2 linked regions of the Mus musculus genome follow. The protein of the gene in region 2 binds, or shares a complex with, the protein of the main gene of each other region. Links are inferred from orthologs where the notes say so. Each region holds a gene or a part of one and is shown on either strand. Other genes may lie near its edges.

Region 1 (7,813 bases), on a different chromosome or scaffold from region 2:
GTTCTCAACACGGGGGTGGGGGGTTGGGTGTATTAGAAAGTAGAAAAAAGCAGCTTAGAAGTCAAGGGTCCAAAATTCAAGACCAGCACGTCATGACTGTGGATATGGTTCAGTTGTTAGGGTACTTGCCTAGCAGGTTAGCTCCCTAGCACAGCCCGAGACCAGGGGCGATGGCATATGTGGATAAGCCCAGAACTGGAAGGTGGACGGAAGAAGATGAGGTTTAAGGTCATCCTTGAGTTCCAGGGCCAACCTGGGATTCATGAGAGTCTTTCTCAAGAAAAGAGAAGGGGAGAGAAGAAAGGAAGGGACACACACACACACACACACACACACACAGTGTATAAGAGAAAAACATTCCAAATGACAAATAAATATTAACAATTCTCATACCCCTTAATAGTCAAGGAAATTAAAATCTTAATGAAGGCAAGGCAGCTCTCTCGATGCATCTTGGATTGGTGCTCATGGGACTAGACCAGAATGACACATGGAGAGTAGAGTTTCCTAGCCTTTTATTGAAGGTACCATGATAGGACATGTCGCTTGGCTGTCAGCATTGTCTCTGTCACAAAAGAGATGGCTGTGGACAGAAGAAGCGCCGGAGTCCTATAGTAGTGCCCATTTGTAAAGGCAGGAGAAATGAGGCACCGTAGACTGCTGGGTACCAGCTGCCATCCAGACCAGTGGAGATGGAGCCAAGCATGGAGGGGACCCTGGGAGGCATGAGAAATTCAGGTGCCAGCCTGCCCCCAACATGAATAGCCTGAGGATGGAGATGGCCATGGCCCAGAAGGATCAGGAAATGTGGGTTGGAGAGGGAAGCAGGGATCAGGGATGGAACAACAGGCACAGAGAGAAGGCTGGGAGGGTGTAAGAGAGCTGTGGGGCTAAGGCAGAGCCGGCAAAGTGGAGGGCCACTTCCACGTTGGGGTTGCTAAGGGTGGGCTCAAACCACTTCTGCAGACACCGCCCACTGTTCCTGCGCTCGGGACTGGCCTTGAATGTGTTGTTCCAGATCTTCTCACACAGGTCATCCGGGGTGGGGAAGTGATACGAAAAAGGGAGGCAGGGCTCATGTGCGGGGCAGTGTTTCTTCTCTGTGGGGATTGAGAACGGGCTCCTAACTTTCCACTGTCCCTTCCCTTCTGAGCCCCGTGCAGCCTCACCCAGTCTGAGGGCCACAAGTGCGTAGTTAATCCACTCACCCTCACTCCAGTCCCAGCCATGGAGCCAGTTGGATTTACAAGTCAAAGATGAGTGGCAGGCTCGCCACCAGTCCTCACAATCCTCCTGGCACAGCGGCACGCCCCAAACCCGCTGCTCTTCCTGCCCGTTTGGGACCACCTGGATGCAGAAGAGAGGGGCATATTTTAATTCTTTACAATGTAAGTATTATTTCTTCTCTCCGCGTGCACGTGTTTACATTCTGTAAATGCAGGCGAATGTGTGTGCGTGCACGCATGCTAGCACCCATGCCTCTCTCTGCAGAGCCCAGGGAACAACCTCAAGTATTGGTCTTCAGGCACCATCCACATTGGTTCGGATTTTCTCTTTGGCCTAGACCTGACCAAGCAGGCTAGGCTGGCTGGCAAGCAAGCTCCTGGGACCCACCTGTCTCTGCCTCTGCAGTGCTGGGATTATAGCAACATACCTCCACATCTGGCTTTTTTTTTTTTTTTAAATAAGGATTGAACTAAGGTCCTCATGCATAGTGATAAGCACTTCACTGACTAAGCTATCTCTCAGCCCTAGGCATCATCATCGGCATCATCATCATCATCATCAATTATTGGATAAATGAGAACCGTGAGGCAGAGCAGCTCATTGGTCCCAGGCCTTACAGTTAGTAAGTACAGGAGATAGAATTCACACTCAGATTCATCTCATTCCACCCTGCCTTATCCTACTGGCCCTCATCAGACAGTGTCTGTCATGTTATCATGCAGGGACAGAGGCATTTTAGCTTCCTTTTCATCCCTGTCTCCAGCAGAGACCTCTGGCTCTGCTCTTATCCCTAGAGGGGCAGCATCTCCTGTTCCTACTTGCCTCCTGTAGATGCCAGCCTAGGATTGAATGGAAGGGTGTTGCATGAGTCTGCCTCCTGTCTCCTATGTCCTCACCGGCTGGATCCAAGGCCCCAGGTTGGGGGAACACTCATGGAAGCAGATGGCCTGGATGAAGTGCTTGCGACAGGCCGGGGTCAGCAGTCCACAGTGCATCATGCTGAAGTTAAAGAGCAAGGGCTCCTCAAGGTGGGCTTCCCAACTTGTGGAACGTGTGCAGCAGGCATTGTCCTCCCAAGGCCTGCACTGAGGTGGGGGCAGAAGGGCGTCAGGAGAGGGGATATGAGCACCTCTCTAGAGGAGGAACTCTAGTATCTGAAGAATGAGGCGCACCTGACCATTGACCTCCCTCCCCTCTGCCTTCTTGCCACAAAGTATAGCTTCCAGGTGTCTGCTCCAGGGGGTGGGGGTGGGGCAATAAATCCAGGAAAGCAAATAGAAAGATTCAGGAACCTGGGTGGTTATCACGGGTGGGAGGAGCTTCTCGTTGGAATGTTCCTCCTCCCACAGCCTTTAGGAAACTGACAAGGAGACAAATTAAGGTCTGTCTCGCCAGCGCATGTTGGCAGGGAGGCTTGCTCTGACCCACGGTTAGCTAGCATAGCCTCTGGGATCACCACATGACCTGTTTCCCAAGCGGCCAGAACAGCTTAGTGGCAAAGCCCTAGATGGACCCCAAATTAAGGATCTAAATGATTAGGGGTGGTGGGGTACAGAGACCACCTGGTCTGTATTTCTTCTCAAATAATCCTAAGAAGCTGCCCTAGCCCCTGGGCCAGCGCTGCTCTGTACCTCCTGGTAGAGTTCGTCTTCTGGGCCAGGTTCTTGCTTGTGGCGCTTGGAATTCATGCAGACGCTGAGCAGTTTGTCCCCTGCCAAGGTGGGTAGGACTGCCCACAACCCCAAGAGGATCTGCCACCACTGTGCCATGACCTGCCACAGAGAGAAGCCCATGGTAAAGAGAACCTAGTCTTCTGAAAGACCAGGAAGGTAACACCCACCCCACTCCTGCCAACCACCAGGCACTGAAGAGGGAGGAGGGGCTCCAAGGCTTCCTTAGGTTGCTGAAATATTCTGGCTGCTCCTAGAACCTTCTGTGTAGAGCAGCATCACAGAATGTAGAGTAAGACTTGGATCTGGCACTCATTACAAACCATTGCAGGAATGTAGAAAGCAAACTGACCAACAGGGGAAAAGAGAAGAAAAAGAAAAACAAACAAACAAACAAACAGCAGCTCTGAAGAGGAGGCCAGGCAAGGAATGGATCTAAGCTGCTCACTTAGATACAGTTTGCTAGTTTGGTAATAATATGGATTCGAAGTTTAGAGCTTTAATCCCAGCCCACAGCCAGCCTCTTGGCCAAGTAACCAATTCCCAGTAAACAGATTCTCCTTATGGCAAAAGAACATGGTGGGGTGGGATGTCAAAGCCAGCTTTATCCATCACATGCCAACCCTAGTTCTATTCCCTAGGAAGGGTCCACACCAGCTCCTCAGAGTAGTTCATCCCCACCCTGACCCTTCAACCAATGAGCTTTCCTTAGCTCATTTCAACCAACCCCAGTCTATCTCAGAGACACCCTATGTGTCAGGCTGTAACAGACAGCCTAAGACCCCTGCTGGCCTCTCAGGGCTAGGGGCTGAGGAGACTTCCACCTTTAAGCCCTCATCCTAGCACAGGAACACGAAGGCTGGCTTGTACCTTGGTGTTTGCTGATACATTTCCAGTTCTCTTCTGGGTTGTACTGGCAATGGGGGGCGGTGGTGGAGAGGCTGGACAGAGAGATCGCCCCTCTGCTAGAACAAGGGCAAACCCGGCTTCAGGAGGGCTCCAGTCAGTCCTCACTGCCAGGACTTCATGGGTCTTACGTCACCTAGGCTTGCTGGGAGCCTGCCCTACACATCAGCAGTTTAGCCGGAGTAGTAGTCTACCTCAGGATGTCTGAGATGTGACTTAGAGACCCAGACTCTTCTGCAGAACCCATCCTGAACTCCAAACCCAAGACTGTTCTTCCACAGAGCCAGCTCCAAGTTTGCACAAAGAACAACTATTCTGAAAGACCGGGAAGGTAAGATGAAGAGAGGAAAGACACCAGCCCCCTCAGCATTGTCTTCAGATGTACCTTCAAGGCAGGGCCCTCCTGTTGCTCCTCCTGATGCCAAAGAGGTGAGCGGGCTGAGGGCGCTCCACCCACTGCCCTTTTATCAGCCTTCAGCTTCTATGAGCTACAGGTGTGGAGAGCCGCCAGTAGCTAGACCTGAGTAGCCTGCCTCCAAGAGAGAGAGAGAAACAAGACCTTGTGGTACCAGAGATCCCTGAAGTGGGTGGCAAGTTCAACTCTCAGCACTGCTTCTAACCTGTGAGAACTTGGAAATAACTTAGATTCTATCAGTCTGTTGCTCTGTAATGAGAGCTGTTGGCAGAATCTGTCCGGCGGGGTGGGGGGTGGGGGTGGGGTGAGAGGGATCATGAAAAGTTCACAGCCCAGGGATGTCTTAACAGTCCTTCATCTTTTGTTCTCAGAAGCTTCCTCGGGTCCCTTCCTCTGCTCAGACCCCTGGGGCCTCTGAGTAACAGAATCCTCCCACAGCATCCGGGTCTAGCTTAGCAGCACGCAGGTGCACAGACAGGCAGCTTGGCCAGCCAAGAATTTAAGCAACAATCAAAGCTGAAACAAAAGCCGCCCCTCAGGGCCACCAGGGGCAGCCTGCATTTGCACCCTGTGCCTGGTCTGATCGCTGCTCCAAAGGTCCCATTGGAGGTGATGCCCATAACTTTGCTTGTCTTTTATGTTCTGTCTCCAAAGGAAAAGTAGCCAAAAATCACTGAAATTTCATACAAAAAGTAGTAAATAAATAAAAACATTCCTTGTGATTTCCACCAAGGAAGACAAAGTACAGCACACGGTGTTCAGCTGCCAGTCAATGTACAAAGCACATTGATTTTGTGCAGGGAAAATAGCAGTTTCCATGCGTGGGTATGGAGTACTGAACATCCACGAGGACTAGTCACGGGGCTGGAGGCTAGGGCACTGGTACACAGTCTGGCTTACTGCCTGCAAGAATACCCCAAATGAGCACTCTCTTTTGTAGGGGATACTGAGGCTCGGACAGAGGTTGATGGAGCTAGAATCTGAGAAAGGCTTGTTTGACTCCATATTTAATGCTTATGAACCAGGTGAGGGGGATGCCCCCAGGACTGAGGGGTAGAAACTATCCAGATCTTTAAAAAAATTAAACGTCACAGTCAGACTTTGGGGGTGGGGGTGTGTTGGCTTTTCCGGAACAGAGCAGTAATGGTTATCAGCCCAACTTGCATGTCTGGTCTTCAACAGAGCTGAGACTCATTTCCTGAAGCCAGAGGCCAAATGGAAAGGCATTTCTGCTTCGAGGGTCTCTTTTGTATCGGTGTCCACAGGGACAGCAGAGGCAGGTACTCACGTCTGTCCTGTATAGACACCCAGGGAGCAACAAGTCTTGACAAGTAAGCGTTTTGGAACTGAACATTAAATTTAAAATGACTGTGGATGTGGCAAGAGCAAGAATCCAAAAATGAGTCACACGAGTCATTACTGGAATGGAAAAATGTCCTCCACAAGGAGGGAGAGAGATAAGGAGGACTCTCTTAGCCACCTCCAGGACAGAGCTATAGGAATTGTGTCAAAATTGCAGCCAGCATGGATGCAGGTGCAGTGGGGGAGGGGTGATTGCAGAGAGCTCCAGGCCAAGCATCTGTCCCTAGAGAAGTGCTGTGAGGCCCTTGAACAGAGCTCATTTTGCCTTATTTTGTCCCAGTCTTCCAGAGAAATCTGTTTTCCGATTGAAGGCTGCTAAATCAGGGCTGGCTGTGGATGGAGCCACTCAAGCAGCCGAAAACAGCAACAGATTAAAGACCAGGGGAAGAGGGGCAGGCAGTTAAAGGCATTCTGAAGGGGGAGGGAGGGGCAGTGAATGGGGTGACCTGAAGTGACAGGGATGCTGGATGGTGATGCCTGTCCTGTCTTCCCACCGTTTGGGTTATCAGGTCATCCAAAGCAATGCATTTGAAGACAAACAAAAAACAAAAAAGCTAGGACACCCCAGGGTATCTGAAGTCTGCAGCCAGTGCCAAGGCCTGACAGGAACTCTTCTTCTCAAGTATCCTCCTTACCCCCTGAATAATTAAACTCCCTTGCAAGTTTGTAGCTCTGGCAGAGGGCAGCGTGCCTCTCACTCTGGATGGTTCAATCTAATGTGAGGTGTTGTTGGCTTAAGCTCCTGTTCTTCCTGCAGCAGGGGTAGTGCTCAGAGACTCCAACCAGGCTCCCTGGTTCCCTCCAAGGCAATATCCATGCAACAGTCAAAACGGTAAAACTTCCCAGGGCGTTACTCTAACATCTGCCAACATCGGGAAAGTTGAGAGAACTTCACAGTGGATACTCATCTCCAATTTGATTTTATACGTTCTGTTTTGTGTTTTATGTTAGTTTGAGCCAACCATCCATCTCTTTCTTGAGGAATCTGTCCCCTGAGCTTCTCAAAGCAGGAAATCAGTGCACTTCCAAGTAATTCAAACACATCGTTAGCCAGATAATATCTGTCATGATTTAAAAAAAAAATCCAGAATGATCCTTTAAAAACATAAAGATGGTTGCCAGATGTTCACATTTAAAATCTTTGTATACATTTAAGTAACTGTTCATGGTTTGTGGGCTTAAATTGTTTTAATTTCATGTACATTGCTGTTTAGTATGTCTATGTGAGGGTGTCACATCTCTGGAACAGGAGTTTTAGACAGTTGTGAGCTGCCATGTGGATGCTGGGAATTGAACCCAGGTCCTCTGGAAGAGCAGCCAGTGCTCTTAACCACTGACCATATCTCCAGGTCCTCACAGGCCCTATTTAATCTAGTATCCATTTATTTCTCTGTTCTAATCTGAGGTCCATTTTTTCCTATTCTGAATTAATTGTTTGTGTGTGTGTGTGTGATGGAGTGGGCATTTGTGCCATAGACTATGTATCCAGTCAGAGGACAACTTTATAAAATCACTTCTCTCCTTTCACCTACCCTTGCTTTCACAGACAGAACTCAGCTCCTTCCTTTTGCGTGCACTGCAGAGCATTTGACTCTCGAAAATCTGTAACTGCCCTGCTCCCAAAACGTGGCTCCTTGGCAAGGTTTACTCTCTCACAGTCCACTCGCCCTCAGCCTCAGTGTCTAGGGACTCCTACTCGGTTCTGGTTCCCAGAAGGGACTGCTTGCCCCTGCCCACGAGGGATGAAGCTCCTTGGTGTGGGGAGATGCTCTCTTGGGTCTGATGTTATAGCTTTGTTCCCACCGCTGCCTTTTGCCCCATGAGCACCTGTCAGTCTCCCTCAGCCTCCCTTCTGTACACAGTTCAGGCAGACACATGCCCGAGCAAGAGTCTCATGTTATGTGCCTTTAGAAAGCAGCAACACTGGTCCAGACAGCTCCCCAGTTTACTATGACCTAGCCCACCTCTCTTCTATTCTCTCCCTTTCTTTCCCATCCTCCTCCTCTCAGACATCTTTCTCCCATCTTTAAAAGTATTTCTTGTCTCCTCCCATTCTCTTATCCTTTTCCTTATATAATTCAAACCATGAGAGAACTTATTTTGAAAGGACAACATAAACCCTATTTTTCTCCATTTAAGGATCAGATCTGATTTTAAAAAGAAGGCCACAGGCACCAGCTCCATGAACAGACCATAAGTCCCAGAAACAATGTCATAAGACACCAGGTCTAGG
Region 2 (7,839 bases):
CCCTGCCAGTGCTGGACCCTGAGGTGGACAGCCTCACACCTTGGCAGCACTTAGTCCTACATGACTGGATGTCAGAGGAGTACTCCCATCTGGAGGACCCATTTCTCAAGCTGTCTGGTTTCCCCTGCTCTTGGACCTTTTTCCATCATCTTCGGGAACAGATTCGTAGGGAATTCACTCTGCATAACCATCTACGGGAAGGTGCCCAGTACCTGTTGAGCGGGCTCCGTATAGGCCCGGCGGGCATCCGCCCTCATACCTTTGTGGGTGTCCATGTGCGTCGTGGAGACTATCTGGAGGTGATGCCCAATCGCTGGAAGGGTGTGGTGGGTGACCGAGCTTACCTCCAGCAAGCCATGGACTGGTTCCGGGCCCGACACAAAGACCCCATCTTTGTGGTCACCAGCAATGGCATGAAATGGTGTTTGGAGAACATTGACACATCCCATGGTGATGTGGTCTTCGCTGGCAATGGACAGGAGGGTACACCGGGGAAGGACTTTGCACTTCTCACACAGTGTAACCACACCATCATGACTATTGGCACCTTTGGCTTCTGGGCTGCCTACTTAGCTGGTGGAGACACGGTCTACCTTGCAAACTTCACCCTGCCAGATTCGGAGTTTCTGAAGATCTTCAGGCCTGAGGCTGCCTTCCTGCCTGAGTGGGTGGGCATCAATGCAGACTTGTCCCCGCTGCAGGCTCAATTTGACCCCTGGAAGCCAGACAGTCTTTTTAGATTGGTCTGACTCATCAGAAGTCAGCCATCCATGTCTCTATGCTTTGGTGTATGTCTGTGGTAGCCCTGGAGCTGTGGGTACTCATTTCCAGACTTGCACATCAACTTGCTGGAAATGCTGGAATGCTTTGCAGACACTTCAACAGGATATCATTTTCTGATTGCAGGGGAAGCCCAAGTCAGCACTGTAAGCCACAGTCTCTTCCGACTCTTCTGGCTCGTCTTCTTAGAACCTCTGGGCAGCTGTTTCTGGGTTAGGGAGGCTGAAGAAAATCCAGACTTACCAACTGGTCTCCTGGATTTCTGGGGTTATTCTAGGCTGTTTCTGAGAACCTGGTCCAGTCCCTTTGCAACACTCTGCAGGGCCCTCTCAACACTCCAGACAGTGAAGAATTTAATGAAGGTAGATGCAAAAGCTCAGTACTTCCTCACTGCTGGAGGCACGGAGTGATGCTAGAGGCACAGAGTGATGCTGCTGGAGGCACGGAGTGATGCTGGAGGCACGGAGTGATGCTGGAAGCACGGAGTGATGCTGCTGGAGGCACGGAGTGATGCTGGAAGCACGGAGTGATGCTGGAGGCACGGAGTGATTCGAGCCTTTCTGGAGCCAGTCTCTTGTTAGAGAGATGAGAACAATTGGAGGACATATGAATTCTGTCCAACTCCTTGGCCCCAGAGAAACCTGAAAGACTTTTATTTAGGATGGGAAGAGCAAATGGCTATAAGTGGGCTGGAGGAGAGAGCCGCTGTTGAGACACATCTGTCTCGAGGCACGGGGTCTCCTAAAAGATCTAGGAACTTTACAAGAGAGAGAGAGAGAGAGAGAGAGAGAGAGAGAGAGAGAGCTCAAAAGTTAAAGAACAACACAGATTAATCTTGGATTTAGGATCAAGGAGGTTTCTTCTTCTGAAGATGCTATTAGGGGATCTGGGATCTGTTTTCTAGAGGTAACCAGGCCTACAGAAAAGAAGGGCATACCCCTGGGCCCACAAAGTCCCCAAATCTGGCTCTGAGAAGATCCAGGGTAAAGGGTCTGAAGGTGTTCCAGAACCTAGAACCCAGAACCCCGAACCCAGCCTATGCCCCTACAGAAGCCCGGGCTTGAAACAAGGATGGGACGTTTGGCTGAGATTGGGTATGTGTGATGCCTTTTCAAGAATGGAGGAAGGTTCCTCAGATAGCATTTAATCTAACTGTATTTATTCCCTTCCAAGAGCAACTTCTATTCTTCTCAGGGAGTTTCCGGGCACTTTTTCCCAAGTTGGCCTGTACAGGCTGGAGAGGGAGCTGTGAATTAAAGGGCCACATCGCCAATACTTGTATCTGATGTTTTTGGAGCTGTGTACTGCATGTGTTGAGTGTGCAACACAATAAAGGTGTGTGTGTGTGTGTGTGTGTCGACCGAGGACATTCATGTCTCATGGATACAGCACCTACTCAGATCTGGTAACACTTGCTGCAAGAGGACTTGTGGTCCAATTTCCTTTCTCTGAAATTTTCATTATTGGCTACCAGACTTGTCATATGTTTTGTCTTATTTTGAGATAATCCAGGCTGGCCTAGAATTCACTCTGTAGACCAAGCTGGCCTGGAATTTGTGGCGATCTTCTTGTTTCAGTCTCCCAAGAGCTAGGACTACACATGTGGGTCACCATGCTTGGATCCAGGACTCTCCTTAACATGGTTTGAGGCAAGAAAGGAAGAATATCACTATCAACTATGTTTTCCATGTTGTGGGACAGATCATAAAGAAAGAGACGCTCCAGTGCTTTCTGGGAGTTGTAGTCCCAGTTTAGAAGACAAGCCACTTCCTGCATATCCTTATCTAGACACCAAGGTTTCCAATCAGCCAGAGGGCATCCTGCGGAAAACCTGGGGTCTACAAAGACCTGAAAGGAGGCTAGGGCAGGTTACTGGCTTTCGTTCAGGTCGGTGCTGGGAAAGTTCTACTATGGACTGCCACCCTATGACGTCACGATGGGATGGGCGGGGCCTACTTTGTTGCAGCCCAATTAAACTTGAGAGTTTGATTTCTGGGCGGGGCCTAAGAGTCAGGAAATAAGGGGATGACCGGTGACTCTTGGAGTCAGTAGAAAAACCCTAAATTACTCTCCCCAGTCTTCCAAGGAAAACCTTACTCTTAGTCGTGAGAAAGTATTTTAAAAAGTCCTCAGAACCTGGACTGAGCTGGGTGAAGCATTAGCGCTTGAGGGCGCGGAATTGGAAAGCGGCTTTTAAAGGGTGTTGTTTAAGGTACTGGGGGGCCTGAGAAGAGTCTGTCCTGAAAGGGGTCTCAGCCTTGAGGAAGAGTAGACAGGTACCCCAGAGACTGGAGGATGGCTTTGGAGGCATGCTGAAGTTTTTCCAGGTTTAAGTATCAGCTTTAAGGATTTGGGGTTTAAAACTTTTTATTCTGAAACCTTTTAAGTTTGGTAATATCCAAGTTGGTTACTTATTAGATAAATTGTTTACTATTTATTTAATTAATTTTATTAATATTTTATTAATATTTAGTTAATTAATTTTGAGACAATCTCAAGTAGGCCATGGTGGTCTTGACTTAGCCTCTCAAGTGCTGCTACCTGGATTTTTTTTTTTTTTTTTTGATGGTTTCTCGAGTTTGACTATTGAATGTCTAGTTTGTGGTGTCACAAGTTTTCCTGGCTAGAGAGTCTAAATGTTGATCTATTCTTAGGTTCAGAGTTAAGAAAACATGTGAGTTTGGGGTAGCTGGAGAGTGAACCCATGAGTGGGAAGTTTGAATGGTGTGTGGATGGAGATGGTCCTGAATTTGGGATCTGACGTAATAGTTTTCAGGGATGCAATGAGGACCAAAAAAATTTGAGGTTGGGGAGTCCAAGTTCACAACTTTGGGTCTTTGATTAGTGATATCTCCTTTTATTCGGGAATATCCCAAAGAATACCTCATATTGAGCTCTGGAATCCTCTAAGACTGATTTTGGCTTCTGTTTAGCGCCCTCCCCCCTGCCCTCTGTTTGGGGTGAGAGGATCCTCTGGCGGTGCTGGCAAGCTGTGCGTTCTGGCCTTCATGGGGCCGCATTTTACACTCTTGCTGGCAGCTCTTGCCAACTGCCTGTGTCCAGGGAGGCCCTGCATCAAATGTGACCAGTTTGTGACAGATGCGCTAAAGACTTTCGAAAACACTTACCTGAATGACCACCTGCCACACGACATTCACAAAAATGTAATGAGGATGGTGAACCATGAAGTATCGAGCTTCGGCGTAGTCACTTCGGCTGAGGATTCCTATTTGGGGGCCGTGGGTAAGGAGGGCAGGTCAAGATGCAGACCTCGGGAGCTTGGGAGAGGAAGGGCTGGGGCAAGAAGTCCCAGTCTAGGGGTGACAGGGACTGTAGGTAGAATGAAAAAGTGGCTGGGTGTAGTAGTCCACGCCTTTATTCCCGGTACTTGGGAGGCAGAGGCGGGTCTCTCTTTGCCCGATGGCTTCATGGGTATTGGAGTTACTATGAGCTAGAAAAGCTGGAGTCTGGAGTCTAGGGTTCTATATCTGCCCTCCACACACAGACGAGAACACACTGGAACAAGCAACCTGGAGTTTTCTGAAGGATCTGAAGCGTATTACAGACAGTGACTTAAAAGGTAAATGTGCCCAAAGATATGGGCAGATCCTCAGAAGTCATGGCTGGTGACACTTCAAACAGAAGTTAAGATTCATGCCTCTGCTTGGGTGCCATTGTGGCCCTGCCACTTCTTAGCCAAGTGACCCTGAGCCTGGGGCCTGGCAACTTTCACAGCCTCGACGTGGAAGTCCTGACCATCTTCCTTTCTCACTGGCTGTGAGGCCTGAGGGAAGTAAGACGTGCATTTTATAGCCCGATGACGGCAAGTTCGGTGCTTGATCGGATTGTTCTCCTGGAAAGGGCTAGACTATGAAATGCTAGCCCAGACAGGTGGGGCACGCCTGCACTCCCAGCTACTCAGGAGGCTGAGGCAGGAGAATTGCTTAAACCTAAAGTTCCAGAACAGCTCAGGCAATATAATGACATCCTTTCTAAGCAAATAAGAAAAAGAGGTGGAGCTGGCTGTGGTGGCGCACGCCTTTAATCCCAGCACTGGGGAGGCAGAGGCTGCCAGATCTCTGAGTTTGAGACCAGCCTGGTCTACACGGAAAGTTCTAGGCCAGCCAGAACTCATGGTGAGAGAAGAGAGGAAAAAATTAGGGGTTGGGATGTTGGGTATGGTGGTGCATGCTTGAAGACGGAGGCAGAAGAATCAGGCGTTCAAGGTCATCTTCAGCTACATAGTGAGTCTGAAGCCACTTATAGTACCTGTAGTGTACGGAATGCTAGACTGCACCTCGCCTCTGAGTGTCGGGGGCATCTCTTTTGGCTCTGTTTCCTCCTAGGAGAGCTCTTTATAAAGGAACTATTGTGGATGCTTCGTCATCAAAAGGACATCTTTAACAATCTTGCTAGACAGTTCCAAAAGGAAGGTGAGGGAAGGTGGAGGCGTAAGACACACCCACTGCCACCACTGGCTTCCTTAACTCCACCTCCACTCGCGCCCTCAGGAGCACCTCCCCCAGGTCCTTCCCTCCCTGCCCCACAGCTCCTAAATCGCAGACCTTTCTGTTCCACATCCACTCCTCCCTCTGGGGCTTGGTAGCAAAGCCTGTCATTCCAGCACTTGGAAGACTGAGGCAGGAGGATTGCAAGTTTGAGGCCACCTTGGGCTTAATGCCGACAGGCTGAGCCTACCCCTGTGAGTGAGTATAGGACTTGATGGGTGGAGGCAGGAAGTGGGGAGCTCCAGGTCCTCTTTATCCACAGCAAGTTTGAGACTAGCCTGGGCTACGCGAGACTCCTTTCTAAAAACAAAAATAAATCTGATTTTCTTTCTCTTTCCCTCCCTCCTTTCTCCCTTTGGAGGCAGTTCTTTGTCCCAACAAATGCGGTAAGTCCAATACGCATAACCTGTTCTTATTGCCCCATGGGCCTCCCCTCTGACCAGTCCTTGGACCTCCAGCACTCTCTCCAACTTGGGTTTCTTAGATAGTGAGCAGTGTTGTAGTTGCTCCCCTTCAGCAGGGTACTAACAATCTAGATAATGCAGATAGCTGCCCAGCCCTTGACCTGGACAAATTCTCTGTTCAGCCCTGCCTCTGAGAGGGAGACTACAACTTTAACCTTTGCCCTTTAGGAGTGATGTCGCAGACTTTGATCTGGTGTCTTAAGTGCGAAAAGCAGTTGCACATTTGTCGGAAATCCCTAGATTGTGGAGGTGAGGATGCCACCCAGCATAAGAGCCCAGTGTGAGAGGGGGGACAGGGCCTATAAGAGGCAGCTGCAGCAAGGCTCCTGCAGAAGTAGCTGCAGCTCCCTCTTTTGCACAGAGCGCCACATAGAGGTACATCGCTCGGAAGACCTGGTCCTGGACTGTCTGCTCAGTTGGCATCGTGCTTCTAAGGGACTTACAGATTACAGTTTTTACAGGGTGGGAACATCCGACTCCCTTGATCCTAAGTCTGTTAGACCTTTATGAGCCCCTGGGTCCCCTGCCCTGAACCAGGCCTTCACGGCCTGTTAGAGGTATCCTCTAATGATCCTTAGAGAGATCCCATACCCTGACCAGGGACTCGCTGTTGCCAGCCACGATCCTGTGGATGGCAGCCAGTCTAGGATGCCTCCTGTCAGGATTAGGGAGGTCAGGAGTCCTGATTCCTTCTTCCCCTGCACCCCAGGCCCCCTGTACTCCCCCACCTCCCAGTTCCCAAATTCCCCAGGCCTCTGTGACCCCTTGAGCTTGGGTCTAGGTTTGGGAGAACAGTTCTGAGACCTTGATTGCCAAGGGGAAAGAACCATATCTGACCAAGTCGATGGTGGGTCCAGAGGATGCTGGCAACTACCGCTGTGTGCTAGATACCATCAACCAAGGTCATGCCACCGTCATCCGCTACGATGTCACAGGTCAGTCTGGGGTGTTGGAAAAGTGGCATTCGGGGTGGGAGAAGCTCTGGAGGTGTGGCCTCGTCCACGGGACCAGATTTACTTGGCATGGCCTTGTTATTGGGTTTGTGGCTTTGGCTATAAACAGGGTCTGTGATGAGAGGTGTGGCTTCCCTTAGAAGGTGTGTTTTCTGGTCTTGGAGGTATGGTTTCCTGCCTAACTGGGTTGTCTTAGGCTTCAGTTGGACTTACTGGGGTGTGCCCACCCTTTAGAGAAGGCTAGGGTTTTGGGGTAGGCTTGCAGTTATTGGCTGCTGCCAGGACTGCCCTATGGTTCTCCTCTGTCAGTATTGCCCCCAAAGCATTCAGAGGAAAACCAACCACCGAACATCATAACCCAAGAGGAGCACGAGACTCCTGTCCACGTGACTCCACAGACACCACCGGGGCAGGAGCCAGAGTCGGAGCTGTACCCGGAGCTGCACCCAGAGTTGTACCCGGAGCTCATACCTACAGTCGCTCAAAATCCAGAGAAAAAAATGAAAACTCGCCTCTTAATACTGTTGACCCTTGGCTTTGTGGTTCTTGTGGCCAGCATCATTATCTCGTGAGCTGTTCACCAGGAAATTTAAAGGGAGGGTGGGCCTTAGATAAAGTGGACTTGGGTGAAGGGAAGAGACGCAGGTGCAGTGGAGGAAAAGCAGGAATGAGACAAGCTTTGAAAGGAGCATGTCTTTTTTTTTTCCATTTTTTTATTAGGTATTTAGCTCATTTACATTTCCAATGCTATACCAAAAGTCCCCCATACCCACCCACCCCCACTCCCCTACCCACCCCCTCCCCCTTTTTGGCCCTGGCATTCCCCTGTACTGGGGCATATAAAGTTTGTGTGTCCAATGGGCCGGAGCATGTCTTGATAGAGGACTTGGGGGTCTGGGTAAGAGGGGGGCTTGAAGACAGAGGCAGGCTTGATGGAAGGAAGGGAGCTGGCGGAGAGGAGGGGCTTGGTGGAGGGGAGTGGCTTGATGGAGGAGTGTAGTCTTGGCTATGGAGAGATTTTATAGAAGGGTGCAGACAAGGGCTTGGATGGACGGATGGATGGATGGAAAGGAAACGGCCTTGTGGAGGGAAGTGATTTGGAGTGGGTCGGGCCTGGGTGGAGGGAGGGCATCC

The links. Proteins that work in one complex are often made in the same cells at the same time.
Region 1: the proteins of Izumo1 (region 2) and Izumo1r are in contact, whole or in part, in a crystal structure (PDB 5JKC), measured with the Homo sapiens proteins. The link is inferred for Mus musculus from reciprocal best matches to the Homo sapiens genes IZUMO1 and IZUMO1R. Residues at the interface, in NP_872381.2 of Homo sapiens: Met75, Val77, Tyr134, Val141, Leu146, Trp148, Lys150, Asn151, Lys153, Glu155, Val156, His157, Ala158, Arg160, Lys161, Ser162, Tyr163, Asn239, Ser240, Ser241, Pro242, Ile245; in NP_001186135.1 of Homo sapiens: Lys42, Tyr44, Glu45, Ile48, Leu58, Trp62, His65, Leu66, Asp67, Gly80, Leu81, Leu82, Met83, Pro84, Gly85, Arg87, Ile91, Met145, Ser146, Tyr147, Gln171.

The regions. Positions count from the first base shown.
Region 1 is NC_000075.6:14,899,525-14,907,337, forward strand, and holds Izumo1r (sperm-egg fusion protein Juno isoform 1 precursor), read right to left. Parts: upstream 4,244-7,813; 5' UTR 4,189-4,243; intron 3,860-4,188; exon of another isoform or gene 3,768-3,859; intron 3,062-3,767; exon of another isoform or gene 3,021-3,061; coding exon of another isoform or gene 2,997-3,020; coding exon 2,859-2,996; intron 2,313-2,858; coding exon 2,124-2,312; intron 1,348-2,123; coding exon 1,209-1,347; coding exon of another isoform or gene 1,101-1,208; coding exon 832-1,100; 3' UTR 499-831; downstream 1-498. UniProt on the Homo sapiens protein: Receptor for IZUMO1 present at the cell surface of oocytes (oolemma), which is essential for species-specific gamete recognition and fertilization.
Region 2 is NC_000073.6:45,619,009-45,626,847, forward strand, and holds the start of Izumo1 (izumo sperm-egg fusion protein 1 precursor), read left to right. Parts: upstream 1-2,802; 5' UTR 2,803-2,992; intron 2,993-3,713; 5' UTR 3,714-3,788; coding exon 3,789-4,023; intron 4,024-4,285; coding exon 4,286-4,360; intron 4,361-5,126; coding exon 5,127-5,213; intron 5,214-5,653; coding exon 5,654-5,674; intron 5,675-5,920; coding exon 5,921-6,001; intron 6,002-6,113; coding exon 6,114-6,214; intron 6,215-6,533; coding exon 6,534-6,687; intron 6,688-7,014; coding exon 7,015-7,273; intron 7,274-7,839. Other genes in the region: Fut1 (galactoside alpha-(1,2)-fucosyltransferase 1), read left to right, coding at 1-749. UniProt on the Homo sapiens protein: Essential sperm cell-surface protein required for fertilization by acting as a ligand for IZUMO1R/JUNO receptor on egg.